Astyanax mexicanus: one gene and its partner. The protein of the gene in region 2 purifies or fractionates together with the protein of the main gene of each other region. This does not show direct contact. Links are inferred from orthologs where the notes say so. Each region holds a gene or a part of one and is shown on either strand. Other genes may lie near its edges. The genes, in order: kiz and sclt1.

Region 1 (15,427 bases), on a different chromosome or scaffold from region 2:
TTTTCTCTATTTATCTCTGTCTCTCATATGCACACATAACCACAGACAGGCACATAAAAGAATACAATGAGCACAAAAACGCACACAAGCATTTTTTCCTGCATATACATTATTGATCATTATGTAAAGAAATTCATATAACAAAGCGCTGTGAACACAGGAAACATCCACAAAACATTCAGTGCAGGTAATTTATCTTCTTTAGAAAGCATCTTAAAGATTATACACATATTTAACTGTGGCTCTTCTACCCAATTAACATTGCCAAGGCTTGCTATTATTAAAATAACAGCTCTCTTCAAAATTTTATAATGGCATATTTTAGATGTTTATGTATTAAGAATTCAGATCATTACTTGCAAATTGAACGTTCAACCTTTTTGATATACTTGTGTCAAAATGATACCTCAATGATGCCATCCATAAGTGTCCATTTGCTGGAACAATGATAAAAGCTTGGTCAAATTCACTTTCCTGATGGCATACTCCTATTATAAAACAAGTGACCATTGAATTAACACAGAGAACTTGAAAGCTTTTATACTCTGATGTAGAATACATTCAGACTAAAAATTAATTCACCCCATTTGTAATTGCTCTGGGACTCTCCTGAGCCTCATGCAGACAATTTACTCAGATACAGGGGAGGAAAAAAAGGAACGATCTTATTGTGGGCTTACAAAAAAAAAGCGCATGTCCTTACATCCACTATTTACCAATGAAGCCATTTTTCCACTGCAAAGAAGCAGACATCGAGTGAACAATGGGAAAATCTATAGCACAGCCCATATTGTGCTCATTCACAATAGAACACAATGTGCCTTTCCTATTTCATACAAAGAAATCCAGGTTAAATTCACTCCTGGACATGCCTTTCAAGTTGCTCCAAATTGTGCGAAAAGTGATCAGGAGTGACAGCTAGGAGAATCAACGTCAGGACAGAAAAATGGGAACTGAAGGTAGATAAAACCAAGCGAGGCATTCAACTGAGCCAAAGGGTTCCTGACTCTACACAGGAGAGAAAACAGAGCCTTCAGCAGGGACAATTCACAGTCTATTTGTATAAGCTGTTTATCAAATTATTGAACAGACAGATGTTTCTGACTGCTCCTGGTTCTCCCAGGCACAGAAACAAAGGTCTGAAGGAATCATTTGTGATGTGCCTGGAATATCAATTCAGTTTACTGCTGTTAATTCACATGCAAATTTTGACCTCTGTTAAGGCATATCAATTACCCTACATACAGTATCTGAGGGACGACACGCACCAGGAAACGAGGGGAAATGACAAAATATGGACAAATTGTAGTGATTCAAATACATGAAAATGGAGTATATTTTTCCATGCATGTGAAACTCTGAATTCAATGCATTTATAATTTGTGATTGAACAAAATGAAAAAAAAATAATAATAAATTAGGTGTATAGCAGCAGCAGTGGTTTTATATATCCTTCTTTAATAATAGAAAGAAATCCAATCTATTATTATTATTCTGATAATAGGATTCATAACAATAATAACAACAATAATAACAACTAACAAGTAAACAATCATTATTCTTAAATGTACATTGTAACTTAAAATTAATCGTATAGGGTCATGTTGTAAAGCTCTGCATCAACTTAACATAAACTATTAACTTACCAATTATTAATTATTTAAAAAAAGTCACCAAACCAGAAAGGAGGTCTGCCTATAATACCTATAATAATGATGGTAAAAAAAATATTGCTGATGATGGTTAAAGGTAAAAATAATTAGAAAATTGCATTTCCTGAAAACATACAAGGGTAGCAAAGCAGAATAATAAAAAACAACAAAATGGCTGTTGATCAGAGCTTGGGGACCTGCACTGATTGAGTACATGCAGTTTAATGGCTGTTGGACAAAGTGGAGATTGGTAGAAATAAAATGAATGGAAATGAATGAGGGGTAACAAGGGATGAAAAGAAAAGAAAAAGTAAACTAGTGTAGGTAAATACAACAGTAAATTTGTTCTTTGGGGCATTCCCCAAAATAGTACAACAGTAGAGCAATAATCTCAAAACTGATTAAAAAAGCTATATAAAAGCACACCTCACAAAATCAGACTTAAAAATGTACAAATGTACAATGGATTTGGTACATTGTCTATAACTGAAAAACTATAAGATGAGTTATTATATGTCTCTTTTGTAAAAAATCTGGTACAAAAGAAAAAGAAGGCAGGTAGCCGTGCACTTATTTTCGGAATTATAATAACTGCCATAAAATAATAGCAAATCCATTTCTCAACTCATAATGTCTGCCATTATAAAACAAACCTGAGGACTGCTTTACGGCAATGTCAACATTTCTACATTTCTCTGTTAATGCCAGCCTTTCTCAACTCAAGTATTTTGTTTTAATGCTTCATCCTTATGATGAGCAATATCTGAACTGCTCCTGTGTTAAAAGTGATTTGTGGTTATTAGTGAGTGACACATTTGTGAAGGACTGATTACTTTGGATCTCAGTGGAAGCTGTGTTGGCTCTCACGGGCAGAACAGTGTTTCAAATCTTACTGTTATCACCTCCAAAATAGTGCCTTTCAGCCTTCCACTGCAAACAAAGAGCCGTGCAACAATATCAATTATACATGCAGGAAGCAAACAAGAGGATTTATTAGCCAACAAACAGCCTCACAGAGTGACCCTGAATGGAAGATATTAGCATGTGAAAAGCACAGCAAAACTCCCTGCTTCACCAGCTAAAGAGCAATTTGATGGGGCTGGAATTGGGGAAATTGCTTGGTTAGAGCGTACACCGGGAGGGGATCGGAATAGATCACCTCAGCTATAAGACAGAATACACAAAACATCGGGGCCATCAGCTGTCAAAATACAACAAGATTCAGAGAAAACACTGTCCAATAATCCCATAGAAGCAACTAGTTAACCAGACCCCCAAATTTATATAAAGGCAAGGTATGGATCTTCTGCAACATCTATTTGCTGTATAATCTGTGCATATATCAAAACTTTATTTAAGTGGGTCATCTTGTTCAACTAAATATTTAAAAGCCTCATAAATGGTGTTTTCAGCAAAAACTTTGCATTTTATTATTTGGAAAGTAGTGCTAAAGGTGTAAATACAATATCACTGTAAAAAATATCTTAACAATCTGATATAATGCATTAGTTCTATACCAGATTTTCTTAGAATTGTATGTCTAAAAAAAGAAGCATTAAGCAACATTTTGAGTACATCACTATACAATTTGTAATACTTCTTTAACACACAAGATAATTTATCATATCCTGAAAGTAAGGAGTATTAATTTCCCTCTGTTGTGTAAGTGCTTTATCTTCCTCTTCATCACGCCATGTTAAAAGTAATTTCTGCACTGCTGCTCTTACTAAATCATGTTTTATTTAACATTGTTATTCAGGTACTTTATATTTTTCTGTTAACTTAAATAGCTGCGTACTGAGAATAGGTTGAGAGAATAGATTAAACTAACATCAGTCTGTTACTACAGGACAAATATTTTCCCTGCACTACACGGGTAGTTTCCTACCAGGTTTCCTTACACCACAAGTCCATTTCACAACAGCTTTCTGTTTCAAGTACTTAAAACTGCTGTAATTATGCAGGTTCCATATTTTAGATAATTCAAGAAAAACCTTAGATGACAGTCAGCTTTACACCAAATGTGGGAACATATTGGAAGATTCTGTTAAACTGGACAACATGGTCCATCACTTTCTTTAAAACGCTCCTCTTTTCATTACTACTCGAGTAAATGGCAACAGTAACCCGGGAATGGTGATTTCAGTGTAGTGTAGTAACACAGGCTGGCTGGGAAATGGAAGAAGCTGCAACCATATATTATTAGTTGCTAGAATAGGAGAGCAATTTACAGTAAGTGGGTTCAAATTCTATCTATCTCATCTTGGTGAAACTGTGAAAATCCGGAAGATTACTACCTAAACCGAATCACAATTGGCAGCCAATAGTGTCACCTCTGTATCCCTGTCAATGCCCCTCACTCACCTCTATCGACTTGAGAGACACTTACCTTCATGCACTGAGCATCGAACTCATGGTTACTTGCCTGTGTTCTGATAGAAAAGCCAAACGAGCGCCTGGAACATTCCGTTTTTCCTTTGCACTGTAGATATGTGAGACAGAAATCAGTGGTCATTCTGTTTGATGAGGGTCAGTAGTCTCTTCAGCAAGTTATTTTTCTCTGCCATGACTTCAAGAAAATCGGGATGTTTACCTGCTGGCTGGACCTGGGGTCACGAAGGAGAGTGTGTGGATGGGCTCTCAGAGTGGCTTACAGGGCAGATGATTGGAAAAGGATATGATGAAATGGAACTCCTGAAGTAGAGCTCTATACATCAGGCAAGCTGAGGCATCAGTTTCTGTACAGCTCCAATACCTATGGAGTTACAAAAGAAGAGCACCCACTGTTAACACAGCTGGTGGAAAATAATTAATTTTTTTTTCACAGACCGTTCTATGCTTTTTTATAAATAATAACTGAATAGCATATTTGAGCACGCTCTTCACATTCGATTCATTTATTTGATTCACTTTAACAATTCAACAATGCACCATGATCTACAGGGATTTTCTACAGTCATTAGTACAAACAATGAACTTTTAGACATGAAATACAGAAAATCAGTTGCACCGACTGGTTTGAAGATTTGTGTACAGCTTGTGGATTGTTTATGTGATGCACTCTTCATTTACACATAAGGAGTACACAAAACATGGCAAAAATCTTCACTACTTTGTCAAATCCACAATGCCAGATGGCCACCAGAGCAGCTAAGCAGCTAAGTATCAACCCCTTGCATGTTTGAGAGACTTTGAATACCAGTAATGTTCCTGGTGACACCATGCCCCGTGGTTATATAAAAAAAAAGGTTGTGCACACTTTACTTTACCTTGAGACCATTTCTCAACAAAGGTCTGCCTGAGTGAGGATAGAATTTAGCAGTGATAATGCATCATATATCTGCAGGTACATGCGTAGCTAGCTAGCATTCTATTTCATGCCTCTTGACAGACAGAGTGGTTAGGAAGTAGTGGATGAAGAGTACCAACAAAGTCATGAAGGCAGTCATGTAGTAGAGCCTCCAACACATCTTTAAGAAGGTTGTCCAACACCCCTTGACAAACTCAGGGCTCTATAGACTCAAGCAGGGACCAAAAGAAACAAAGTTTATCCATCTCTGTGAGGGCAAAGGATCTGTGTTGGCCAAGCGAGCTGTAGCAGTTTCTTGCTCAGCTATGTGAAGAGATATGTTAACAAGAGGTCGAGTGATGACCAGAGGGCATGGAGAAACATGACTTTGGTATTCAAAAGCTTGTGTGTTCAAAAGTGTTTGGAATGGTACACTCATGAACTCATTCAATATTATTCTTACTTACTTACTCTTACACTTACATTGTACCTTTCTGCCACTTAAAATTGCATTCCACACACACTCAACACACACCAGTGAGGAGCGGCAGCCAATCGCACATAGTATACTCTCAACCGGAGCGACCATCCACCTGAAGGACTGCATCTGGCACTGAAGAGTTCACCCAGCACAGAGTGCCAATCCATATCTGGGCATACAGTCACACACATTCACATACATTTACACACCAATTTTCTGGGCAATTTAGAGTATTTCATTTACCTGATATTTCTGTTTTTGGGCTCCGGAATCCCAGAGGAAACCCACGCAGACAGGGGGAGAACATGGAAACTCCATCCAGTTAGGGACCTGAATCCAGTACCCCAGTGCTGGTAAGCGAAGGTGCTAAACACTAAGCCACCGAATATTCACTATATAGCATTTGCTATATAGCTAACTCTCTAGGGACAGAGGGACAAAAAAAATTAATTTGTACTTTTCTAAGGATGTCTGACACACCACCGCATTGAATTATATTATATATTGGAAATCATCTGTACACTGCATTTTGCGATGCACTGTGGATGTTTTATAGTGAACTATTTAGAGATTTTTTTTTCTTTTGGTACTTGTCAGTTTTTTTTGTATGTGTATCACACCCTGTGCTTAATTATAACACATACAATGTATTTAAGTGTATTTGGAAAACCAAATAAAAATACTTCTGAGCCAAACAGGGAATAAAATAAGACTATATTTCGAACTGCACTACAAAATGGCTGACATAAAATAAGGTGCACTATTACTGTAATATGGAGCGACTCCATATTACTCTCAGCTAAAGTCTCATACATGCTACACATGCTGTTAAAATCTGGCTGAAAGCTAAATGTACATTTATTCAGAACAGTCACCCAAATGTAATCTCAAGGCATTGTAAACAAAATCTCAAAAGCGGGATACTGTTTGTATTTTTACAGATCAAACTGTGTGTGTGGACGAAGGCAGAAAAGTACTCTTCATAGGGAGAACGTTACGTTAGCTAGTTCTTTATTGTTGTAAATAAATAACCGTTAATTAAATTCGGGAAACGGGCGTTGGCTGAAACTGTGTAGACTGTGTTCACGTGAACTGCGCAGTGCAGTGCGCGCGCTCACAGTTAGGCAATGCCTGCGTGCGCACACTATTTACATGTTTATTTTGTTTATTTAAAACATGTTCACGTGTGATAATACCTAAACGTGTCTTTTTATTTGTTTTTTATCTGGAAAAAAACAATCTCATGCCTTAACATCAAAATGGGGAAAAAAATAAAGTTATGCACTTTTAACCCTCACTTTTATAACCCTCATTATATTATACGTATTGAAAAGAAAAATATAATTTTTGAAAGCTTTGGAGTCTGTGTGAGTACATAAAATATAACTTTTTGGTTTGCCCTTTTATAACAAAGTGATCAATTAGAACAGATGCACATATTAGATTCTTGCACATATACACGGTAACTTTTATTTATGACGCTCTTGTATGTGTCATTGTAAAGTTCGTAGATATGCCCTTTAACATTATATAAAAATACAACACAAATAAATAAACAAAAAAAAACATTTTAAAAGATAGGTAAGATATGAAGTAGTAAACAAATCGGCAATGAGGTCAATACTATGCTAAAGAGGGTTTTTGTCTCTTTACACGAGACAAACTGTGTGAGGGGTTTGTTTCTACCCAAAAGTCTACTTACCCAATGTTTGTACGTTTGTATAGTAACAGCTAAAAGTGCACAAAAGCAAAATAACACATTTTAAATCCTTATATAAAAACAAACTGAGCGTTTTTCCTCATCCTAGCCTGAAGAAATCTCGTGCACGTGAACTGGCAGTGCAGTGCGCGCGCTCGCTTGCTCGTGGCCACAGCGTGTCTACTTGTTTACAACCCAGGCCATCTGGGAAGTGGTGCGCATGGCAACGAGCGTAAACACGGTCCTGGCGCTGTGCGAGACACAGACGGGGGACCAGCTAATAATATTCAATGGCTTTTTGCAGTGCCGAGTACTTCGACACAGTGGGATCTATTCAAAAGGGCATACATGAAAGGTAGGACGCGATATTTATACTATATCCTCAAGCAAAGCCTTGATATAGAGGGGGCGCTAGGGCCTGGTATGAAGCCGCGGGTTTGAGTCCAGAGCTGCGCCGCTATAGACCGCACTGCCCGCGCATGTCTGCTCTTCTGTGGTGCTTATACTCTTTAGCCTAACAAGCGTTAGCAAGAAGCTAATGCTAATGCTATTGCAGCTTTCACTGAGAAGCGCCTCTGTGGAAACGACGTTGAACAAAGTGCTGCTAGTGCCGGTTACTTCAAGTTGGCTACGTTATGCATTAGGTCTTTTTAACGTCATGTTTACTGTTGTAATTATATGTATTAATATTACCCAGATACTTAAGCTAGCAAGCACGCTACGTTAGCTAGTTAACGTCCTGCCTGGTTTATTTTAGTCACATCCCATTCACCGGGCGGCTGGAGTTGGGGCTAGCGCAATAAGCAAAGCGGGACGGTAAGTTAAGTGAGTAAAGTTATCTAGGTAACCTAGTTAGTTAACTAGTTAGCTTTTTTTGTTTATTTCTTTGGACACGTTTTTAAATGAATATAGCTAGCTAACTGAGCTAACTAAGTTAACTGTTATATAATACGACATCTGCTGTTAAAACCCCACCGCTATATTTTAACAGCTAGAGCAGCATTGTGAGTTATGATTCGTGGTTAATATAGGTTCGTGAATTTGATTAGTTAGCTAACTAATTGAATCGTTTTCGGAGACCAGCGTTGCACTGCGTCCGGTTAGAGATTTTTTTCATGCAAACCCGTGATATGAAATTGGTCTGTGTAAGATATTTGAGTTATTTTTAAACATAAAGTCTTTCCATTTCAGGGAAAAAAGGAGGCATGAGTTGGAGGAACAATTGTTTACCTATACACGATCAGAAGATAGACTGTAAGTATCCTACTTCACTTATGTGTGTTGTTTCGTGTGTGTTTAGGTTGTGCAGGGTTAAATTTGTTTTATGTTTTAACGTTATCTTCTTACTAAGTTCCTGTATAGCTGTTTTATTAACAAGAGTTAACTATATATGTTGAATACACTGCCTGTCCAAAATAAAAGGTCCCAACCTGTATTTAACAAAGCAACTAGGTATAAGCACCCCATTGGTAATTTATGTTTTAGCTGGCAACAAGTTATTGTGTTTAACTCTATCTGATCTAGGGAGTAATAAGCACACATCCATAAACAAGGAGACATCCTGTGGCTATCAAAATCAGAAATGTTAATCTGTTTCAGAAGAGTCAAATTATTGACATGCACCAAACAGAGAAAAATCTCGTTAGATTGCTGAAACTACTAAAATCAGGTTAAAAATTGTAATGACAGTGGGGAAACATCATCTTTGAAGAAATAATGTGGTCAGGAGAAAATATTAAATGATTGTGTTTGGCCATCACCTTTTGGTGAAAACAAATAATAGAAAAACAACACTAGAATCTAAATTTATGTTTAATAGTAAAGGTAAAAGCATTTCCACTCCCACAATGTGAAGGGAACTCAAGGGATTGGGATTACACAGCGGAGTAGCCTTAAGACTTACCATTGATGGGAACAGTAAAAATGGCTTCAGTAGGGTAGGAGACAAAAAGATTGTACTTTTGCCCAAAGAATGAGGTTAGCTGACTACCTGAGTACACTGAATGACTAGGTTATTTCATCAATGGATTTTTTCTACCCTGATGGGACAGGAATATTCCACTATGACAATGCCAGGATTCGTCAGGCTCAAACTGCAAAAGTTAGTTTCAGGGAGCATGAGATATAATTTTCATACATGGACTCTGGAGTCCAGACCTGAACTCCATTGAGAATCTTTGGGGTGTGCTGAAAAAGACTTTGCACAGTGGTCCACATATATCCTTATCAGTGGATAATATTGGGGAAAATGAATTAGACACAGAAATAAATGTTGTGACATTGCAGAGGCTTGTGGAAACGATGCCACAGTGAATTAGCTTGTTTTTGGCCAGGCAGTGTGTATTATTTAAACTATATCATTATGTACTGTATGATCCTACATACCAAGCAAACAATCTTATCTATATAGGGTTATTAATATGACATTACTTTCAATGCAGTTTAATTTAGGCTAATCTCTGTAGAAAACTGAAAACTGTTCTTTCTTAACAATAGCTGTTCTCTTAAATGAACTGTTCCCTATCTTTTGCCCTGATCCACTTTTCATAAGGTACATTGTTTGAATGGGACTTCACCTCGAAACTTTTGTTTTAGGACAATTAGATGACTCTCTAAAATATAGCCTCTTCTCTCTCACGGGTGATATGATGGCACTTAACTCAAGTGCCGGAGACCTATTTGTTTTTATATGGCCCCGCCAAATTCATGGATGCAAACAAACATTTTATGAGGATGTTAGGGCAGGAAAAATGTAAAAGGTTAGTGGATCAGCCTTTATGATTCAGATTCAGAGTTTACCTGCAATTTTCCTTGTTGGCCTTTTTTTTTTAAATCGCAAAACATTTTCGCTCTGGAGTGCCAATTAACAAATGCACCAAGCACCATTATCAGATATTTTTGTCTGTCTCTAACTTGACCACAATTTTAGCTTCAGTATTGCTTATACAAGGTTTGACACTGACCATCTGTGATTGAACATCCTTGCTTAAGTGTATATGTTCATATATAATACCTGAATATACACATCATCACTGTCCAATGAAAGAAATGTATCTCCAAAACAACAACTTTACAGGAGAGAGATGAAACCTTCTCAACTTTCAGTGGAAGTCAGTGTAAGAAGAATGTATTTCAAGTAATTTTGGAGAATGTCTATTGTTTTTGTATTAAGACACAAATTTGACACATTAGGTTGTAAACTAAAAATGGACAAAAATGTAGATACTTTTTTTTTTCTTTAGATGATAACATACAGGGTGTACGCTATATCCAACTCTAAGTAATGGGATTCTTTAATGTCTTTATGTTTGTTTTTACAGAGCCAAATTGAAATGTGCCAAGATGCGCTACTATCACAAGGAACTGTGTAAGAGGGAGCAGCAAGCAAAGGCTCGCAACCTTGAGCTCCTGAGAAATGTCGAGAGCCTGGTATCAAATGCAAAAGAATTTTCCATTGACTACACTTTACTGCATCACTTGAAGGTAAAAGCCTTGGATTGCTATTTCTGTTTTGTGCTGACATGCTGGCCTCCAGAAGATGATGTTTGAATTATTTTCTTAAGCAGGCTTTCAAACAGTGCTTTCAGCAGCATCATCTTTCTCACCCCCTTATTTATTATAATGCCTTGTGCTGTGTATGTATGTGTGTGTGTGTGTGTGTGTGTGTTTATGTGTGTGTGTTTGTGGTCCTAATGAGACCGTAACTGATTTAGCCTAATGTGTCACAGCAACTAATTGCTCTGAAAGCAAGAAATTTGCGATTTTCTCACACACTGTAAGCTTCAATTAGCCTGCTGCCTATAATCCCATATCATTGTCTAATTCTCATCTGCTGTTTGAGCGTTTACTCTCATTTTTGTTTAGTAACAATTGTAAACACTCTAACAGTGCCATTTATCACTGCAAGGAAATGAGAAAAAGAAAACAATGGCTGTGGTCGATTATCACTTAAAACTGAACAGTGCTCAACAGCTTAATATCAAATTTGCCAATTTGTTTAATTACACTACCCCAAATTAATTGCCCACTATTGAGACACTGAAGTACCTCTGGCTTTCTCCCTCCCTGAAAGGAGACAGTCTGTGACTCTCTTTCTCTCTGTCTCTCTTCATTTTTATTGTTTGGACTCATTATCATTTTATTATATTTGTTTATTCTCTAATTAATGAATGTATTGTATATTTAAACACTGTTTAATGTTATTAATATGGGTGTAGAAATTGCTAGTTGCTAACAAGTAAGCTAAGAATATCACCAACGTAAAATGAAGTAACAAAAGCTAAATTGCAAAGATTCAGTCTATTGCAAAGATAGGAGACCGCTAATATAACTGACATATACACAACCAGACAGCCTCTGACACTTTCCCGTTCTCTCTGTTTCTGCAGTTCCAATATTTGTCAGTGTAATTATAATAGTATGTACACTACGGTTGTAATTATGTGTTTGGAAACCATTGCAAATAGATAACGGATTTGTGCTTAGCAAGCAAACTGTTCCGTTTGGTGGAGCTTCTATTGTCTTAGGGGAATGAAGTGGGTGGCTGGAGGTAATCCCAGTGCCCTCACTGCTGCCATTAGACTGTTTAATTGAAGTTTGGATTAGTCCAGTCAGTCTGGCTAACCACAAAATTGATTAAGAGCCCTGGCAGGCAGTGTTAAGGGCACTCAGAGGGGAATACCCACAGTGAGGGACACTACATTTTCAGGGATAAACATAAGCCTCTCTTTCCCCTCCTCTTTTCCTCAAGTTCACTGTTTACACTTCCTCCCTCCCTCTGTTTGGTTTTAAGAATTCTCTGTAGTTAAAAAGGAACATCCTGCACATTCAAAGCATTGTAGTATGGTAATCCAAAGCCTGGAATGTTATTTCAGAGTTCTGTAAAAGCAGTTGCCATTGCATTGCTTTTGTAGGTGATTTTGAATAAGACTTGGGCTATGTTCACACAGCAGGTAAAGAGACATAAATCTGATTTTGTCATCTGAACACTTCACACACCTTAACTGATCTGCATGCAAAATAGATCAGTTCTTCACATTCACCTTCACCAGCCTTACAGCAGCTATCACGGAGTTCCACTGGCTGACAGCTGAGCTTATCAAAGAGAATGTGTACAAGCTTGCTGTAAAAAACAGCAGCAGTTTCCTTGGTTTGCATCCATGGTTTCTTTAAACTTTGTTCAAACTTGCAGCAGTTGTGATGTGTACCTTTTTAAATTAGTTTGAACAGAAACCTCACCTTTAACATTTAAGGAGGTCTGTTACCTCATCATCTCACCCTCACTGCTAACATCCATTTCTATTTCTCCTTATTATTAATTAGATTTTTAAATAAAGGTGGCGTGAATTCCGATCTGGCTGTTCAGACTGATTCACACTGTCACGTGTTGGATATATATCAAATTTCAATACCACGTATGAAGTGGCCCAAATCAGAATTTAAAATATCCTTTTTAATGTGGTTTTGCTGTTCACGCTCTCACACAGGCAACACGTATGTGTCACTTATGACAAAGATATTTGACTTGGACCACTTTTATCAGCTGTGTGAATGTAATCTTTGCAAGAGTTTTTTCTTATTAATGAGTTGAAAAAGTTGAGGATTTTTTGGGTAATAGAAGATTTGATAGATTTTTTTTTTCTTTTCAGATGGATTGTAGAAATCACATTACCAGACTCGTGGAGGAGCAGAGGAAGACGGCGAGCAAGCAGGAACTCGAAGCACACAAAGTACGACAGATTTATCATGTCATCTTTTGGGATTACAATTTGGTGGAAATTTACAAAGCTATCTCTCCGCCTTTGATGAAACCATGATCTTATGATGGGATCCAATATAAAGTGTACCGTTTCACTTTTCAAAGAAGAGAAATGACAGTTAGAGAGAGAAATAGACTCGCAAATCCATTATTCTGCGCAATTCCTCCTCTTCTTTTTCTTCTTCAGTAGACACTTTTTACAGTTTATATGGGGTATCAGTGTTCAAAGACTACAATTAATTTATAATCAAAAGCAATTTGGGAAGTGCTTGAGGTAATTACTGTTTTGCTCACAACTTCAAATGGCTCTTTTGCTTTAATAAAGGACCATCCAAGTCTTTAAACCAAATTATGGTATAGGGGTTTTTATGAAGCTCTTGAAAAGAGGAAAAAAAAAAAAGAGTGATCTTCTCTGGAACTTTTTCTAGTTTCGCATGTCATTTAACCCTGACCACCGTACACTGTTGTTATTTGCCTGGTATTATCAGCAGAGATATGTGTACATTTTAATCTGTAGTCCTAGAAAAAAGGGAAAAACAGGAGAGGAGGTTTGTTTAGTCGGTTGTTTGTTTTTCTTGACTAGCAAAAAATATTGACATGACTTTTTAAGGCTACATCCATATAGAAATATTTTTCTCCCTCTTTTTGAAATTGTGTCTGTCTACACAGAGATGTTAAAAGCTTACATGAACATGCTAACCTGGTATGGGTATAGTACCTTATAAAAAGAGAGACATCAAAACATCATGCAAGAAAAAAGAAAACATAATAGTGTGTTATCCCATTGCCCACTTTTTAAAATGTATAATAACATATATGGCATTTTAGCCGACTTACATGGTTATTTCTATTACAGAGGTGGACCAATGTAGTGTTAGGAGTCTTGCCCAGGGACTCTTATTGATGTATCACAGTATAGCCACCCAGACCAGGAATTTAACCCCAGCCTCTCACATGATGAGGTAGCTCACAAGCAGTTGGTGGTGTTATCCACTGCACCACACCAACCACAAAGTATAATACAAAATGTGTGTAAATCTATAATGCAATCTAGTGCTATCTGTGCCTCAATGTTGTAGTTTTGATGACATGTATTTCAGAATATTGGGTGTTTGAATGGATTTGAGATTTAGGCAGAAAAAATGCATGCACTGTGATGACAGCATTTTAAAAAGCTTCATATTTACTGACCAAAAATAGTCAGAACTTTTCCTGAAGATGGGAGGCCATAATTTTTTATGTTTTTTTTTTAATATTTAAAAAATATCCAGTAAAATAAAACTATACTTCTGTTTGCATTCTTGGACAACAGAAGTAAATTTTATGAAGCTCTATTAAAATGTAAATGTAAAATGTAAACTTGTGTCCGCTATCTGTCATACCAAGACCATTGTGCTATTTAGTTTTTTTACAGTCTATTTTTTAATACCACTATTTCTATAAACAGCGGTTATTGATGTGGTGTGTGGTGTCCATAACAAATGAAACAATTCTTTGGTGTTTTTTGATGAAAAACAGAAGTAGCCATTATTTAGACAGCTCAGCGTTGGTGGGGTGGGGCCGGGGGGACTGTCCATTTTTCGTTGCCATATCTGTGATGGCGCAGGTGTCTAATCCGGCCCGCTATGACCGTGCCACCGATGTAGTTCAAGCCTGTGGCTGCTTCTTTCCCTCACTTCAAGCGGTTTGAGCGCTTTCAGATGAAATGTGGAAGACAGCTCATAATGACTTGGAGCATGCTGTCTTGAGCAGTCACTTGTGACTGTGTGTCCCCCCCCCCCATTCAAACACACACACGCACACACACACACACACACACACACACACACACACAAACCCTTCTGTCTCTCTCCTTCCCTCCCTCCAGCCTGGCGATATTGTAATGAGCAGAGATGGGAGGAATCACTCCATTATGCATACGCGCCACTGCTGGCTGCGTGCATGTCCCCGAGGCTGCAGCATTCATTAAGGGGAGCTTACCGGCCTGAAAGCTGGGAAGCCATGATAACGGGATATGATTTTCATATTTAATACATTCCTTGGAAGAGCAGGCGCGTGCCGCAGATTGATAGAAGAATCAATTGCTACTTTAGCGAAACACTTTCTACTTTGCCCCGCAGCTAGCGATGGAATCACTCAGCCAAGAAATTAACTTTTCCTCCCTCTCTCCTTCTCTCTCTCACTCCCTCTCTCTTCCTCCCTCTCACTTCATTCCCCCCCTACCTCTGCGCTGGATCTGCCAGGCAGGCAGCGCGGTTTACAGTGGATGTTATTAAGCAGCTAACTGTTTGGTATTTAAGACCCTTATCAGAAAAGAAACAGAAGCCTTGCTTTTTGTTATTTTGTGTGTGGAGAATTTTTTTTTCTTTCCCCTCCACCACGCCGTAGTGCCATGGCAGACATGAATCAGAGCTTGGGAGCAAAGCACTGCTAATAAGATTAAAAGTTAAGACATTGATCTCAGTACACTCAGCTGAAAAAAGAGAGTTGGAGAAGGAATCTAACCTTGACCCAAATAGATCTCGGGCGGTTGTTGAAAAGGCAAAAA
Region 2 (16,285 bases):
CTCAACACACCAACACACGGAAGTAACCCAACACACCAACCCAACAAATCTACCCTTATCTGCAAGATATCATGCGGTCAAACAGCTGAGTGTTTTCGTCAGACGGGAAGTGTGTTTATGCGAGAAGCGTGAGAGAGAGCGCGAGAGCAAAAGCGAGAGGGATTGCATGTCATTGCATGGACTTTGGCCGATATTTACCCCACAAGGTGTCGGGCTGCTTTGGGTTCATGAAGCATTCACACACTGACGCTTGCTGCATCCCGAACAAGAGCGAGAACATGACTCTCTCTCTCGCACTCTCTCGCGCTCTGCCTGGCTCTCACCCTCTCCCTGCTGAAGAAGCCAAAGTAGCTCAAAGGCAAGTTTCGGGAGGAGAACAAAGAGATTGAGCGGATGAATAATTAAACACGAGACTAACACAATACATCCAGCCCCGCCCACTCTCGAACACACCGCCTCGGAACATACACGCTTCAAACGCACACTCGTACACACACATACACTCTCTCTCTCTCTCTCTCTCTCTCTCTCTCTCTCTCTCTCTTTCTTCCTCTCTTCCTTTTCATTCATGCTCTCTTCTCCAGCTTCCTCTAATCCTCCATGTGCCGATTTCTCCGCTGGGCCCGAACGGCGCCGCCAAACAAAACAGTCGGCTCAGAGAAACACGCTGTATGTTCTGATATTTCTGGGCTGCTTTTTTTTTTTGTAATATCACAGGGTTCTTTAAGTGCTACAAAAACACCAGCTAAATATTTTCTCTCTCCCTCTCCCTATCCATCCCTCGCTTCCCCTCGCTCTCTCTTTTTTTTTCCTCTCTCGGCACTGGAGAGAGGTTGAATAGCTGTTGATGAAGCATGCAGAGCAGCTGTATGGCAGCCCCCTGACACCAGACAGGATTTCCCCACCATGTCTTCCTCTTTTCTATTCCTATATCCCCATTCATCCCTCCCTCCCTCCCTCCCCCATTCCTCTCTCGCCCCAGTCTCTCGCTCTCGCCCTCTCTGAGGGAGCGCGATTTTCATCCCTTGTTTATTCAGGCCGTGATATTTCTCCAGCAGGCTCGCTCTCGTCTGTCGAACGGGCAGACAGCCTATCATTACCCCCCTGCGTGCTGTTCCACTCAAATCTGACCCTTTTCACATTTAGCTTCACTTTTTTTTTTCACTTTTACTAATGGTGGTCAACACCTGGAGTCAACACACCAGAGCCAAGCCAATCCAATCCAGTCCAGAGGTGCCAAAACCCAACTCGCCAACCCAACGCTCTGACTCAATCACTCTATTTTACCTATCTATAGCATACAGGTCAATTGCGCAGCTTTTATTTATCATGAGGGTCCAAAAATAAATAAATAAATAAATAAATTACACCTTGCGCAGCTCGAAATGGTGAGCTCTGACTTTGGCACGTTTGTATCTTAACAGCGCGTTGCTTTTGGGTGCCTCAGCAGAATATACAGTGCCATCAGCTCATTTAGGGGAAAAGCAATGTTATTTTATATTCTTTATTCTGTTGTATTGTTGATGCAAAAGCTGGATTTGCACGTTGCAGCACTCTGGTGCAAAAAACTGACTTTTGTTGTATTAAAACCTGATAAAAGTACTTATATTTGATGAATAGCACACCTCCGTTCTCCCACAGCATTCTGAGATCCAGAAACGTGACAACTCAATGGAACGATTTAATATAGTAACCAAATCAATTCAATGAACCGATCCAACCCAATGCATCAAAACAATGCGATGAACTAATCTGCTAATTCAACACAACAACTCAGTGGGCCAACCAAACACTTTGACCCAACATGCCAATCCAATGTGCCATCCCAGTGTGTCAATCCAACATGACAACTCCATGAATTTATCCAACAGGCCAGTCCAATATATAACATGCTGACCTAACACAATGCACCCAATGCACCAACCCAGTCATCACCCTGATGCCAACTCAAGTCAACCCAACCAATGCTCTGATCCATTTTACCAACCCAGCACCCCATTTGAATCAGTCAACCCAATCTTCCCACCCCTCACACTATTTAAACACATACTCCAACACGAATGCGCCAACCCAATCTACCAACCCATCACACCATTAAAAAACACTCCAACCCATTGCACCAACCCAATCTACCAACCTATCACACCATTAAAAAACATACTCCAACCCAAGGCACCAACTCAACGCGCCAACCCAACACACATATCCAATATGCCAACCCAAGAATCTATTTGAATAAGTCAGTGCACCAATCCAACACCTTGACCAAACCGTTACCCTGATGGCAAGTCAAACCAATGCTCTGGTCTAAAGTACCCACCCAGTACAACATTTGAAAGAGTCAACCAACCCAACGCACCAATCAAAACACATACCCCAACCCAACTTGCCAACCCAATGCACTGGACAGAAATCACACATGCCAAACAAATAATTATACAGTCCACTGGTTAAATGAGCACTATGAGCACTAGGGGACCTGCACATGTTAGCTGTGACCTCATCAGTTGTGTTGGGTTGCCAGAAAAAAATTGGTGTACATGTGAAATATACAACATGTGATATGTGGCAGGATGCTCTGAGAGGCCTGTGAAATTCACACCTCCAAATGTGTAAAGAAAGAGTGTTTTCTTGGACATCTGTGTCCTTCAGTCCCAACTCCTCGCTGCACATGCCTGCCTTTAATGTGCCAGATGTCTTCTCGGTCAAACAAACTGGTGCCAACATGATCTCAGACATAGCAGACATACGGCAGATAAAGAGACAATAAATACCTTCATGCTAGATAAAGCACATCCCTGAGAGAATTTTGGGAAACACTATGGAGAAAGTGATAGTGAATTAAAATTGCTTTTTATTACTACTAGAATAATTAGAGATGCCACTCAATATTTGGCAAAGTAATTTGGCAAAAAATAGCATTTAGTGATGCAATGTTGAAACTCAACTTGCCAGTCCAATGCAACAATCCAATATGTCAACTCAACACACAAGCTCATTATATCAACTCAATAAACCAGTCCAACACACAAGCTGACACTCAACCCAAAGCACCAACAAACGCACCTATTCAACACATCAGTTACCACAACACAAAAGAAACCAACTCAACTCAAGAAACCAACTCAACCTGACACAACTCAACAAGCCAACTCAACACATCAAATTCCACAACACACAACAAGCCAAACCAACACAAAGGACTAAAAGACTGGCTAACACCCACATGAGTACCACAATTAAGGGAAATCTATGATTAGAATAGCAGTACTGAGATAAATGTATGAAAGTAATAGCACTACTGAGCTAAGTGTAAAATGTGTCATTAGAATAGCACTACTGAGGGACATCTATGATGAGAATAGCACTCCTGAGGTAACTTTATGATATGAACAGCACTGTTTAGGTAAATGTATGATTAGAATAGCACTCATGAGATTCGTTTGTTATTAGAACAGCACTATAGAGGGGAAATGTAGGATTAAAATAGAACTACTGAGGTAAATGTGTTGCTGCTGGTTTGTGTGCTGGAATAATAAAAAGGTTATAAATATTTTTGGATTCTGGTCTTGTAATAGCTTTTTTCTTTGAAAACATTTAGAGTACTTTATTTATTCAGAGGTGAAAAAATGGTCAAATGAGTAAAAACCTGTGAAACAATGTTTTCGGTATTCTGTATTTGACTTTCATTCAAAAGGTTTAATTTTGTTCTATTCTGGATTCCGTCAAACAAAAATATAAAACAAATCATTTGGTGCATTTCCATATCCAGGAATATAAACAGCTGTAATTCAGTGAGATAAAGCGATGCTGCGCTAAAGAGAACAGGGCGTCTCGAACAGGAATAAGCTTCATTAAAGCTTTATATAAAGAATCTGCTGTAATAAAGTAGGAGCACAGTGTGGCCAGAGATGAACTAATGAGGCCACATTCCACACTTCCCAGTATTTCACTGCGTTCTTTTTATTCCCTTTAAAATGTATTTTTACACAGCCATTTATTTTCTTCATTAGACTTTAAGGCTGGATTGCAGTATGTGTACAGTACGCGTGACCTCTGTTCTGATTGGCTGTTCTGTATGGTACTCGTTAAAAAGCAGTGTAGGGTAAAATACTCCGTTAACGTGAATGAGCGGAGCCATGGACATGATTTATTACTCCCACACACACAGTTATTTTCAGTGTAGATATTAAATAATAATAATAATAATAATAATAATAATAATAATAATAATGCATAGCGGTTTTAATACTTAAATACTTCAGCTTTCTCTTTTGATGCCTACATTCATTTATTTTATGACTTAACTCGTTCTGTTTTGGTGGGATAACGTTTAGCGCATCATTCTAGCTTCTACAGAAGCAACGACAGACAGCTAGATGTGGGAATCTTGACGCTAAATGAAGCCGCGCCTGCATTTTCCATCTATAATAATATTTTATAAGTTCTAAGTGCACTTTATAATTCTCTCTTTTAAATAATAATATATTCCGTTTTAAGTATATTCTAAAATTCTCCTTCAAATAATATATTCAGTTTAAAGTATATTTTAAAATTCTCTCTTTCAAATAATATATTTAGTTTTAAGTCAAATTTATAATTCTCCTTTTAAAATATATATTTTTTTAGTTTTAAGTTTATTTTATCATTCTCTCTGTCAAACATATTTCGTTTTAACACTTTTTTGTAATTCTCCCTTTTAAATATTTTTTAGTTTTAGGTCAATTTTATAATTCTGCCTTTCAAATAATATATTTAGTTTTAAGTCTTTTATAATTGTCCCTTTCAAATAATATTTTTAGTTTTAAGTCTTTTATAATTCTCTCTTTCAAATAATATTTTTAGTTTTAAGTCAAATTTAATATTCTCTGTTTCAAATAATATTTTTATTTTTAAGTCAATTTTATAATTCTGCCTTTCAAATAATATATTTAGTTTTAAGTCTTTTATAATTGTCCCTTTCAAATAATATATTTAGTTTTAAGTCTTTTATAATTGTCTCTTTCAAATAATATTTTTAGTTTTAAGTCAAATTTAATATTCTGTTTCAAATAATATTTTTATTTTTAAGTCTATTTTATAATTCTCCCTTTCAAATATATTTCGTTTTAAGCCTTTCATAATTCCCCCTTTTAAATATTTTTTTTAGTTCTAAGCCTTTTTTATAATTCTCCTTTTTAAATAATGTTTTTAGTTTTAAGTCTATTTTATAATTCTCCCTTTCACATAGATTTCGTTTTAGGTATGCTTTATAATTCCCCCTTTCAAATAACATTAATTAGTTAATTTTATAATTCTCCTTTTCAATTAAAATAGTTAGTTTAGTTTTAAGTCTATTTTATAATTCTCCTTTTCAAATATATTTTGTTTTTTGGTATATTTTATCATTCTCCCTTTCGAATAACATTTTTAGTTCAAAGTTAATTTTATAATTCTGCCTTTCAAATAACATATTTAGGTTTTAAGTCTATTTTATAATTCTCCTGTTTAAATATATTTCGTTTTAGGCCTTTTTTATATTTCTCCCTTTCAAATAATATTTTTAGTTTTAAGTCTATTCTATAATTCTGCCTTTCAAATAATATGTTTAGTTTTAAGTTCATTTTATAATTCTCATAAAATCCAGGCCGACCAACCCGACCTGAGCCCTTGAACTTTCTGCCCGAGATTCGACCCGCCCCATAAACTGTCATAATGAGCCCGAGGTGGAAAAGTAATCCAAATATGACACTGGTAAAAATCTAAAGTAAGTTCAGCTGCTGATCCGTTCTTATAATTTTAATCCGTTTTTATGAGTTTACTCTGTACATGATTCGTTTCTTTTTTATTTAGGCCATTCTGGTTAAAAATTATTTCTTTCTGTTGGGATCATTTGTCTTGTTTTATTTGTTAACTGTGGCAGCTAACGTTTAACATTTACAGCAGCAGTGCTTTCTTTGTTTGGTTTCCTCCCCAAAAAACAGTTTATTTACTTTGGGATATTTGCATTTTTTTTGTAATATATTTTTTTGTTGTTGTTGTTTTTCTATTTGTCTTTAGACATTCGTTAGATTACATTTTTCTTAGTATTTTGGGTTCAGTTTAGTTTCTTTTTTTTTTCTTTTGAGTTTTTTTATTCTAAAAAAAAAAGTCAGTTTGAGTTTTGAGTTTATTTTGTGCAGGAATGTCCTTTATTTTTATTAGTTTTGGTTGTTTGTTTAATGTTGTTTCTTCCTGTTTGGAATTGTCTTGTTTTATTTACTAATTGTGGTGTCAGCTAATAGCTTGTTGTGGCTGAGGGGAAATGTCTAAATTCGCATCTAATTCACATCTAAGAAACGTTTAAACTCTTAAATTCACCTTCACATTACACAAATAGAATTAGCAGCTCAGACACAATCAACCCAGCTGGCACGGCGGCCTAAAAAAACTTTAATAACTCACCCATCAGAAAATTAGTTGAAAATGAAGTCCATTCTCATGTCCTTTTGGAAAAAATGGTTGTTAGCAGCGTCATGCAACTGGTCCTTTGCTTTTAAACCCATTAACAGTTCTTTCTCCATGGAAATTAAGGCCAAACGTCTGTCAACTTCTTGTTAAAAGTTAATCTAGAAAACGGCTTGGATAACAAATTTGCAGAGCTGTCCTCCTGTACAGCGGTAGTGCTGGCATCCGCTTCCATCATGACTCAACAAATTAGCTAAAGCTAGCTAACTAACTAGCCTGGCCACCGCAGCTGGGAAATTATGATACAGTTTAAAGCCCGCCCACTTAGTGGGAAGATATTATTGGTCAATTTTACTGTCATTTAAAACGTTTTCACGCAAGGAGGAGGGGCCAAGTTCCGGGAGAGGCGATGGGTAAACCTATTTCCGGTTTGGAGCCCCTCTACGAAAATGGATGAGTTTTTATTTATTTTTAATTTTATATTTTTCATTAGTTATACAAATAGGTAAAGAGATAGATTAAAAGAGTAAACAAGAAGTAACAGCAACATATTAGCGATGTCAAAGATAAGTAAATAAAGAAAGGAAGAAAGAAAAAAGAAAAAAAAGAAAAGCCAGAGGAATTGCCAAAATAATCTAAAAAAAGAAAACATCCCATAGTCATCTCATCCTTTGAAAAGATTGTAAAAATAACGAACAGCCACCAGAATTTCTCAAATTATCTTTTCTTATTATTTATTTAATATTCAGTATTATTTAAATTAAATTGTAATGCTTTAAAACATTTAAGGATCTACCCATTTTTTTATTCAATGAGGGGCCCATTGACTTAATTGTTTGCAAATATATTAAAAAAAAAATCTTTTTAGTTTTTAGCTTTATGTATGTAATATTTTGCTAATATTATAATAAGGTTGATAATAAATGTTTCATTGCAATGAAATAGAGGGTTATTAAAAGTATAAAGAATATAGTGACTTTCAAGGGGAATGTCTTTACCAATTTTCTTCCCTAAATTCCAAAATATATCTACCCAAAAAGAGTAGGTAAAAACACAATAAAAAAATAAACAGTCAAATCTCACTATAGTTTTTACAGATGCTGCAATTTTCAGAGATGGAAACAAATGGACTTACTCTAGCATTAACTGGGTAACATTTGTGTACACTATCTTAAAAATAACATCTTTTATTTTGTTGTTAATAAAATATTTATGTGGCAAAGCCCAAATCAAATGCCCCCTAAACGTTGAAAATATATGTAGTAGTGTTTAAATAACACGTCTTTTGGATTCAATATTTAATATGTTGGTTATTAAATTTAGTATCTAATATATCAATCCCTTCATGGGTTTTTATTATTCCTCATCTTTTTCTGCACTTTAGACAGGATAATGTTGCCAGAACCGTCGAGGACCTATAGAGGAACAAACAAGCAAAACCCCATAAGGGATATAAGTTAATTTCTTTTTCGAGCAGTTTATTTTTGATTATGAATTGAATTTATTGATTTTTTTTGTGTTCAGAGTCCACTGTTGTAGATAAGGAGATCCTGTAATGGCCAGGTGCTACCGGTGTTCTGTCCATTTGTGCTACCCATCCGATATATGCTTCTTACCACAAACAGTGTCCGCACAGACCTATGTTTTTTTTTTTCTCACATTTTTATGTTTTTTCAGTTTCATCAGCTCCACAAAGTGCAGACTGCATTGTTTTAAGTATAAAGTTTGGCTGAGGGGGGATTATGAGTATGATAAAAATTCGACAAAAGTTCACGCTCGTCATTCATGTTTCACTACTACGCACCAAGTCTGTTTCACACTGTATTTCTCCTTTAATGGTTAAAATGTAGCGATAGATGGGGCGCCGAGTGGTCCAGCGGTCTAAAGCGCTGCCACTATGAGCGGGAGGTCGCAGGTTCAAACCCCCTCTCATGCAGCTTTTCCATCAAGCTGCCGGCGCTCAGAGGGAGCAAGATTGGCCCTGCTCCCTCCGGGTGGGTACAGTAGATGGCGCTCTCTCCCCACATCACTTCTAGGGTGATGTCTGCAGCACAAGGCGTCTGTGAGCTGATGTATCGAAACCAAGCCACTGCGCTTTCCTCCAAGCGTTAGCGCTGTGATGCTGCTCGGTAATGCTGCATCAGCAGCAGCTCGACTTCACATGTATCGGAGGAAGCATGTGTTAGTCTTTTTCACCCTCCTGGTGTGTTGGGGCATCACTAGTGATAGGGGTGGGTAATTTCCCCTGTAAATTGGGGAGAAAATGGGAAAAATTAGAAATAAAATTATAAAAAAAAAAGATAGATGAATTCCCACTCCAGCCACAATAGAGCAACTAAAGCACCTGTGATGTTGCGAAGACGGGTTCAGAGAGCTTTTGAGCACTTGAAGGAGAAATTAGTCTAAATCAATAGATGGAAAATGATGGATCTCAGCCTCAAATTCTCGAAAGTTCCCAAACGACCGCTGAAAAACGGAAACCGCAACAAAGAAGAGCTGCGAAAAAGAATGTACTGAATCGCAGCTCGAGTCATTAAAACAACTTAGATTTCCAAGGTTTTCCATGCTTTGCTTACTGCAGAAAGAGACCAAAGAAAGGGAAAAAAAAGAACAAAACGTGGAGAAGAGAAAAAAAAAAAAAAAAACGAGACAGAGAGGAAGGCCAAATCCAAAGGAGACTAATTTGCTGGTGGGCTGCTTCTTTAAGGGAGTCAGAGTTATGATTTATAGAGACCATTACGGTGAAGGACAAACAAACAGGGTTATTAGAGCAGATATCAGAGCCGTGTGGACAGCTAAAGGCTAACACCGGCCACCCAGCAGAGGGGAGGGGAAGGCGAGAAAAAGAGAGAGAGAGAGAGAAAAGGAAAGAAAAGAAAGAGAGAGAAACTCTCTCTAACTATTTATTTCTGTAAAGGCCTTGGATTTGGAAGTGTGTTCCTGCACTTTCTGAATGTTTTGCCACGAAGAAAAACTCGAAAAGAAGAAACTCCAAAGTCCAAACTGAGTACGAACAACAATAATAAACTCATACTTCGATAAATAAAGTAGAACTGGTAATAGATTCTCCATAATTCATAGAGGGTTATAAATAATTCATAGATCATAGCATCCGTGTCTTTATGGAGCTTGCTTTGTGCATTGGTGCGCAGTCATGATAGAACAGGAAGGGGTCGTCCCCAAAGTGTTTCCGCAAAGTTAGGAGCATGAAAGGGTCTGAAATATTTTTTCTTTGAGATGATGAAGGAAAGAATTAAATTTTTCTTTCGCTGCAACAAAGAAGCTGAGCCCAACTCCTCGAAAACAACCCTACACTATAATAATGATCCCCCCCCAGCCAAACTTTATACTTCAAATGCTCAACGCAGTGCAGTGTAATACACCACATTGGCACTAATGGTCAAATTTAAATCATTTAACTAAGATATATATGTAATGCCATCTAGTGGCTTTTTTTGGTAGCAGCAGTGTGCACGATTAAAACAGCGATGTGCAACATAACAAAATAAATAATAAATAAATAAAAATACAGGAACAGTCATGTACAAAATAATAGAACAATTAGAGCCTTAACAAACTGAACTCTTTCCTACTATAACAGTTAATCATGAAAAATAAGACTTTAAGACTTTTTCTTTAATAAAGATATATTATTAACTTTATCTGAGAGGAAGATTCTCTTTAAGGTACCAAAACTATTAACATATTTGAGGCTAGACAAAACAACTGTTATTTTTATATTTTAAAGTTTTTCTTTAAGAAGTTGAGAATGTCCACATTCTCTGGAGAAAGAGCTGCTCTTTGAGCAGTCACAATATCTGCGGCGTCAGCTACAGTGTGCTGCTCCATTTGCGTAGCATGCTGCGCCATTTGCGTAGCGCACATGCTAGTGTAGCTTAAAGGGAAGGATCATCAATCCTCTTTTTTTGACTTCGAGGTTCGAGACTATGACATAATTTCAATGACGCCCCTAGTTACGATATAACTGACAGTTGACTGTGGAATATTTAGTAGTGAGGAAATTTCACAATTGGACTACAGCTGTACAGGTTCCTATTTGTAGAAGCAGCATGTCTAGATCCTTGGTTTTTACACCAATGTCCATGGAAATGATTGAAACACCTAAATTTAATGATCTGGAAGGATGATATAGTGAACTTTAAAGGGCCACACTGGTGAAAGTTTGCACAAAACCCTTTCGAGGATTCTCCCCTGAAGTGTTATCGTCATGTTTTACCTCACTCCTGCTTTAGCTACAGCTACAATAGAGCCCGAGGACATACAAACTGAACATTAGCTTCGAAATAAGTGAATTTAATCCATTAATAAGCAAATGCGTTTTATATATTAGTTCAGCTGATTAAACCATCGTCAACCCTTAATGACAGGGGAGTGGGTGATGAATAATGCATGAGCTATTTATGCATGTCTCCGCATAAATAACCCAATCATTATTAACGCTAGCCAGGCAGCAAGGTTAACGAAGGCACGAAACACATACATATGTAAGTTATGGAAATGAAATTAGGGCAAAAATGATTGTCTGACAGCGCTGATGATGGATAAAAAGCCTTTTAACCTCAGAGAATGAATTAAAAAAATAGATCTAAAATTAAACACTTTTGATTTAGACATATACGTATTAAATTTATCCCTTTATATGGGTTTAAAAGATATACAGTGATGTGAAAAAGTATTTGCCTCTCTTTCCTTTGGGTATTTTTAATCATACTTACGTTTCACAGATTAACAAGCACATTTTAATATATAAAAAAAAAAAAACACTTTTGGCCCTGTTTGAAGGGTCAATTAATTTAACACGAATTAAATGAGATTAACCACATTTATTGGAAAACTGAGTCCAATTTCAGTAATCACACCTGTAGAGTCAGCTTATAAACCAAAACCTACGACTGCTTATGAAATGAGTGCAACGTCAAACCGTTTGAGAAGATCGTTGGTTCGAATCCCCGTCATGCAGCTTGCCATCAGCTGCCAGAGCCCCAAGAGAGGGCACAATTGGCCCTGCTTTCTCTCTGGGTGGGTACAGTAGATGGCGCTCTTTCCCCTCATCACTCCAAAGGGTGATGTCCATTAGCGCAAGGTGTCTGTGAGCTGATGTGTCGGAACCGAGTCGCTGCGCTTTCCTCCAAATGTTCGAAAAAAGAGGCGGAGTCTGACTTCACATGTGTCGGAGGAGGCGTGTGCTTTGATTTTAGCAAATTGAAAACCTCTGGAATATAATCAAGAGGAAGATGGATGACCACAAGCTGATCATCAAACCAAACTGAGCTGCTTGAATTTTTGCACCAGGAGTGTAAAGCATAAAGTTATCCAAAAGCAGTGTGTAAGACTGGTGGAAGAGAGAACATGATGCCAAGATGCATGAAAAAAAAAAAACAGTGATTAAAAACCAGATCTGAACTCTTAAAACTTTATGAACTTGTTTTTCTTTGCATTATTTGTTATTTGTTATCTCATTTTCTAAATAAATAAATTACTGCCAGACCTGTAGAATCAAGAAATGACTTAAATAGAACCTGTCTGACAACATGAAGCAGATAAAAGATCTCAAAAAGTCATTGGTCATCTATCAGAGTCTGGAAAAGGTTATAAAGTCGTTTCTAAAGGCTTTGGGACTCCAGTGAACCACAGTGATTCACTATTATTCAATTATTCGCTAATAGAGCAAACAGGAATGGAACACTGGTGAACCTTCCCAGGAGTGACCGGCCGACCTAAAGAAATTACTCCAAAAGGGCATGAACAACTCATCCAGGAGGTCCCAAAAGCCAGAACCCAGAACAACATTTATAAAGAACTGCGGGTCTGACTTAAGGTCTCAGTTAAGGTCAGTGTTTTAATGATGCAATAATAAGAAATAATAAGAGACTGGGTGAAAATGGCCCATATATCTACAGTATGTATAATAGATGTATAAAATATGGAACACATAAGGGCTTAGTATGATCACACATGTTGACACTGTATGCAACAGGTGTGTGTGTGTGTGTGTGTGTGTGTGTGTGTGGTGGAAGGTGGGAGGCTGAGAGAGATGTGTGTTTTTCTGTGAGTTCTGTGTTTTGCTCGTTTCTCAGCACAGTGTGAAGTGTGTTCTGTTACTCTCTGTGGGCTCCAGTAAAATAATACACTGTCGTTTTTTTTTCTTTCTCTCTGTTGGGAAAAATGAATACTTATTCAGTGTGTGTGTGTGTGTGTGTGTGTGTGTGTGTGTAAAATGGTAAAATGAGTCACTCTCTCTTTCTCTCTCTCTCTCTCTCTCTCTCTCTTTCTCTCTCTCGCTGTGTCTGTGGTGTAAAATGGTCGAGCGGGAGCTGCCACTCAGCAGGTTGCTTAGAGACTGGAAGCAGCATTAAAGAAAATAACAGCAGAGGAACGACAGAAACTAGTGGAGAGAGAGAGAGAGAGAGAGTTTTGGGAGAAACACAGAAGAAAGAAAGAAAGAAAGAAGGAAAGAAAGAAAGAAAGAAAAAAAGAATTAGAATGGTTTAACTGCTGTAGGCTGAATAAATGGGTGGTGCTAAAATGCTGTAGCTCAACAGGTGGCACTAAAGTGTGGTATGATAAATGGGTGGAGCTATAAACTGCTGTAGGCTGAATAAATGGGTGGAGCTATAAACTGATGTAGGCTGAATAAATGGGCGGAGCTATAAATTGCTGTAGGCTGAATAAATGGGTGGAGCGATAAACTGATGTAGGCTGAATAAATGGGTGGAGCTATAAATTGCTGTAGGCTGAATAAATGGGTGGAGCGATAAACTGATGTAGGCTGAATAAATGGGTGGAGCTATAAACTGCTGTAGGCTAAATAAATGGGTGGAGCTATAAACTGCTGTAAGATTAATTGTTTGAGCTATAAACTGCTGTAGGCTGAATAAATGGGTGGAGTTATAAACTGCTGTAGGCTGAATGAATGGGTGGAGCTATAAACTGATGTAGGATGAATAAATGGGAGGAGCTATAAACTGCTGTAGGCTGAATAAATGGGTGGAGCTATAAACTGATGTAGGATGAATAAATGGGAGGAGCTATAAACTGATGTAGGATGAATAAATGGGAGGAGCTATAAACTGCTGTAGGATGAATAAATGGGAGGAGCTATAAACTGCTGTAGGATGAATAAATGGGAGGAGCTATAAACTGCTGTAGGATGAATAAATGGGTGGAGCTATAAACTGATGTAGGCTAAATAAATGGGTGGAGCTATAAACTGCTGTAAGATGAATTGTTTGAGCTATAAACTGCTGTAGACTGAATAAATGGGTGGAGCTATAAACTGATGTAGGATGAATAAATGGGTGGAGCTATAAACTGCTGTAGGATGAATAAATGGGTGGAGCTATAAACTGCTGTAGGATGAATAAATGGGTGGAGCTATAAACTGCTGTAGGATGAATGGTTAGGAAACAGGTTTTAAACCCATTTTCTTTGCTACTTTTCTCCCTTTTATGTTAAATAAAGTTGTTTTTGATGATATAGGGTGTTTAAGATCACGTCTTCGTCACTTCATTGACTCCCAGCTGATCAAACAGAGCAGAATCTGTTCTCTTGTGTGTTTCTGTGTGTAACCAATTATACTGTCTCTCCTCAGTAAGAGACTGAAACTGAGCCAAATCCCCCTCTCGCTGTGGCGCTAGCTCCGACAGCTGGGACCCGTCACTCTACAGGGCGCTCTCCATGCACCGCTCAGATGTTTAGGGTGTGTGAAGCAGCAGATCTGATGGTGTACAGGTTGAAAAACACAGTTAAATTAAAATAACTGTTCAGTAGTAACAATCACAGCTATAGCGAAACATTAGATTCTGCCAAAAAGGCCATAAAGGTCCGTCCCTTACTGCCCTTTAACATTTGGGTAGTGCACCTCCTGGTGAGAGACCACTGACTGCGAGACTCGCCTCTACAGGCATTTGGAGAAGAATAAGAGAATTAAGGAAGTTCTGAAACAGAAAGAAAAAGAAGGAGAGAGAGAAAAGCAGAAAGAATAAGAGGGAAAAAAAGAAATAAGCTGAATTTAAAACATAGAGAAACATGGAGAAATATCTAAAAATAATCAAGGGACATCAAAGAAAAAGGAAAAAGAAAAATGAAGAGGAACAGAAGATGAATAAGAGACAAACAAGGGAATGAGAAACAAGAGGAGGAATAGAGTAATTAAGATTAACAAAGAAAAGAAGCTGAAAATGTAAGAGATAAAAGAAAAAGAAGTAGAAAAAGAACACAAATGAGTAAAAAAAAGGAGAGAGAGAAGCAGAACAAATAAGAGGGGGAAAAAAAAGAAATGAGCTGAATTAAAAAGAGAACATGGAGAAATATCTAAAAATAATCAAGAGGGACATCAAAGAAAACGAGAAGAAGAGAAAAAACAGAGAAACATGAAGAAAAAGAGAAGAGTGGAAATAGACATGAGGAAAAATAGGAAAAAGAAAAATGAAGAGGAACAGAAGATGAAAGAGAGACAAAAAAGGAATAAGACACAAGAGGGGGAATAGAGAAATTGAGATGAACAAAGAAAAGAAGCTGAAAATGTAAGAGATAAAAGAAAAAGAAGAAGAAAAAAGAAAATTGAGTAGAAGAAGGAGTTGTAAATTGAGGAATTGGAAAAGGAAAAGAAGGAGAAGCTGAAAAGAGATAAAAGGGGGAAAAAGGAACAATGATTAAGACTCAAAAGTAGGAGGGGAAAAGGGTAAAAAAAGAAGAAGAAATAAAGACATGAAGAAGAGGAGGGGAGAGAAAGTGAAAAAAGGAAAAAAAGAAAGAGTAGATGCAGATAAATGAATGTACAGAATGAGAAAAATTAGAAGGAAATGACACAGAAGGAAAAATGCAATGAGAATCTGACAGAGAAGAGAAGGAGAATAAAATAAAAAAGAAAGAAAGAAAGGAGTAAGAAGAAAAAGAAGGAACAATCAGGAGGGAAGGAACAAGAAGAAAGAGAAAGAGAATGAGAAGGAGATGCTAAACAATAAAGAAAATGCATAAAAAGGAAAAGGAGAAACTTAAAGAATGAGAAAGAAAAAAGGATGAGAAGACAGAGGATAAGAGAAATTAGAAGAAGAAGAAGAAGAAGAAGAAGAAGAAGAAGAAAATGTAGAAGGAGAAAATTAGGGAGAATATGAAAACACACTGTAAAAAGTGAAGCATGGAGCTGTTCATTCAAGCTAATAAATATGATTGAACACATAGTACAATTATTGACTTTATTGTGAAACTCAACCTTTTTGAATTTTGATGTGTCAATTTTGATTCAGACTAAATTAATTACAATTCTGAAGGAAATAAACCAAATGTTTTGGTTCCACTGAAATCATACTCGAAGAAAAGAGATAAGGATGTAATATTTTTAATTTGAATCAAACATGAAGTGCGCATGCGCACTGTGGAGCACGGGAGAAGTTGTAGAGAAGTGCTTCAGAGCACTGAGGGAGAGAGGGAGAAAGTGCCTGAACGCGCTCGCGAGAGAGAGAATTAGAGAGGGAGAAAGTGCCTGAACGCGCTCGCGAGAGAGAGAATGAGAGAGGGAGAAAGTGCCTGAACGCGCTCGCGAGATAGCAACGCATGCTTATGGTATTGTGGCGTCGGGACTGGAGGGGGGGCGGAAGGAATTATGGGAGCTCACCCTGTTGGGGGAAGTGGGTGTTTTTCTGCGTGTTTATGTTACTGTTTATCCCAGAGTTTCATGTCATGTTTTATTATCACTGTTCTAGTATTATTCATGTAGTTATCAGTTATGTGGTTGTTTTGTGCCTCACCCTTTGTGTGTTTTCTGTGTGTGGGAGTGGGGTTAGCTGCGTTGGAGCTGTAGTGAGTTTCACTTTCAAAAGTGGAATCCCATGTAAAT

What was found.
Region 1: the proteins of sclt1 (region 2) and kiz purify together in Homo sapiens (co-immunoprecipitation; 3 studies listed by BioGRID and IntAct, counting the BioPlex papers as one, with this or other methods). This does not show direct contact. The link is inferred for Astyanax mexicanus from reciprocal best matches to the Homo sapiens genes SCLT1 and KIZ.

What each region holds. Positions count from the first base shown.
Region 1 is NC_064421.1:20,951,911-20,967,337, forward strand, and holds the start of kiz (centrosomal protein kizuna), read left to right. Parts: upstream 1-7,297; 5' UTR 7,298-7,411; coding exon 7,412-7,476; intron 7,477-7,651; exon of another isoform or gene 7,652-7,937; intron 7,938-8,312; coding exon 8,313-8,375; intron 8,376-10,441; coding exon 10,442-10,604; intron 10,605-12,769; coding exon 12,770-12,850; intron 12,851-15,427. UniProt on the Homo sapiens protein: Centrosomal protein required for establishing a robust mitotic centrosome architecture that can endure the forces that converge on the centrosomes during spindle formation. Required for stabilizing the expanded pericentriolar material around the centriole.
Region 2 is NC_064432.1:5,075,040-5,091,324, reverse strand, and holds the start of sclt1 (sodium channel and clathrin linker 1), read right to left. Parts: upstream 6,678-16,285; 5' UTR 6,424-6,677; intron 1-6,423. UniProt on the Homo sapiens protein: Adapter protein that links SCN10A to clathrin. Regulates SCN10A channel activity, possibly by promoting channel internalization.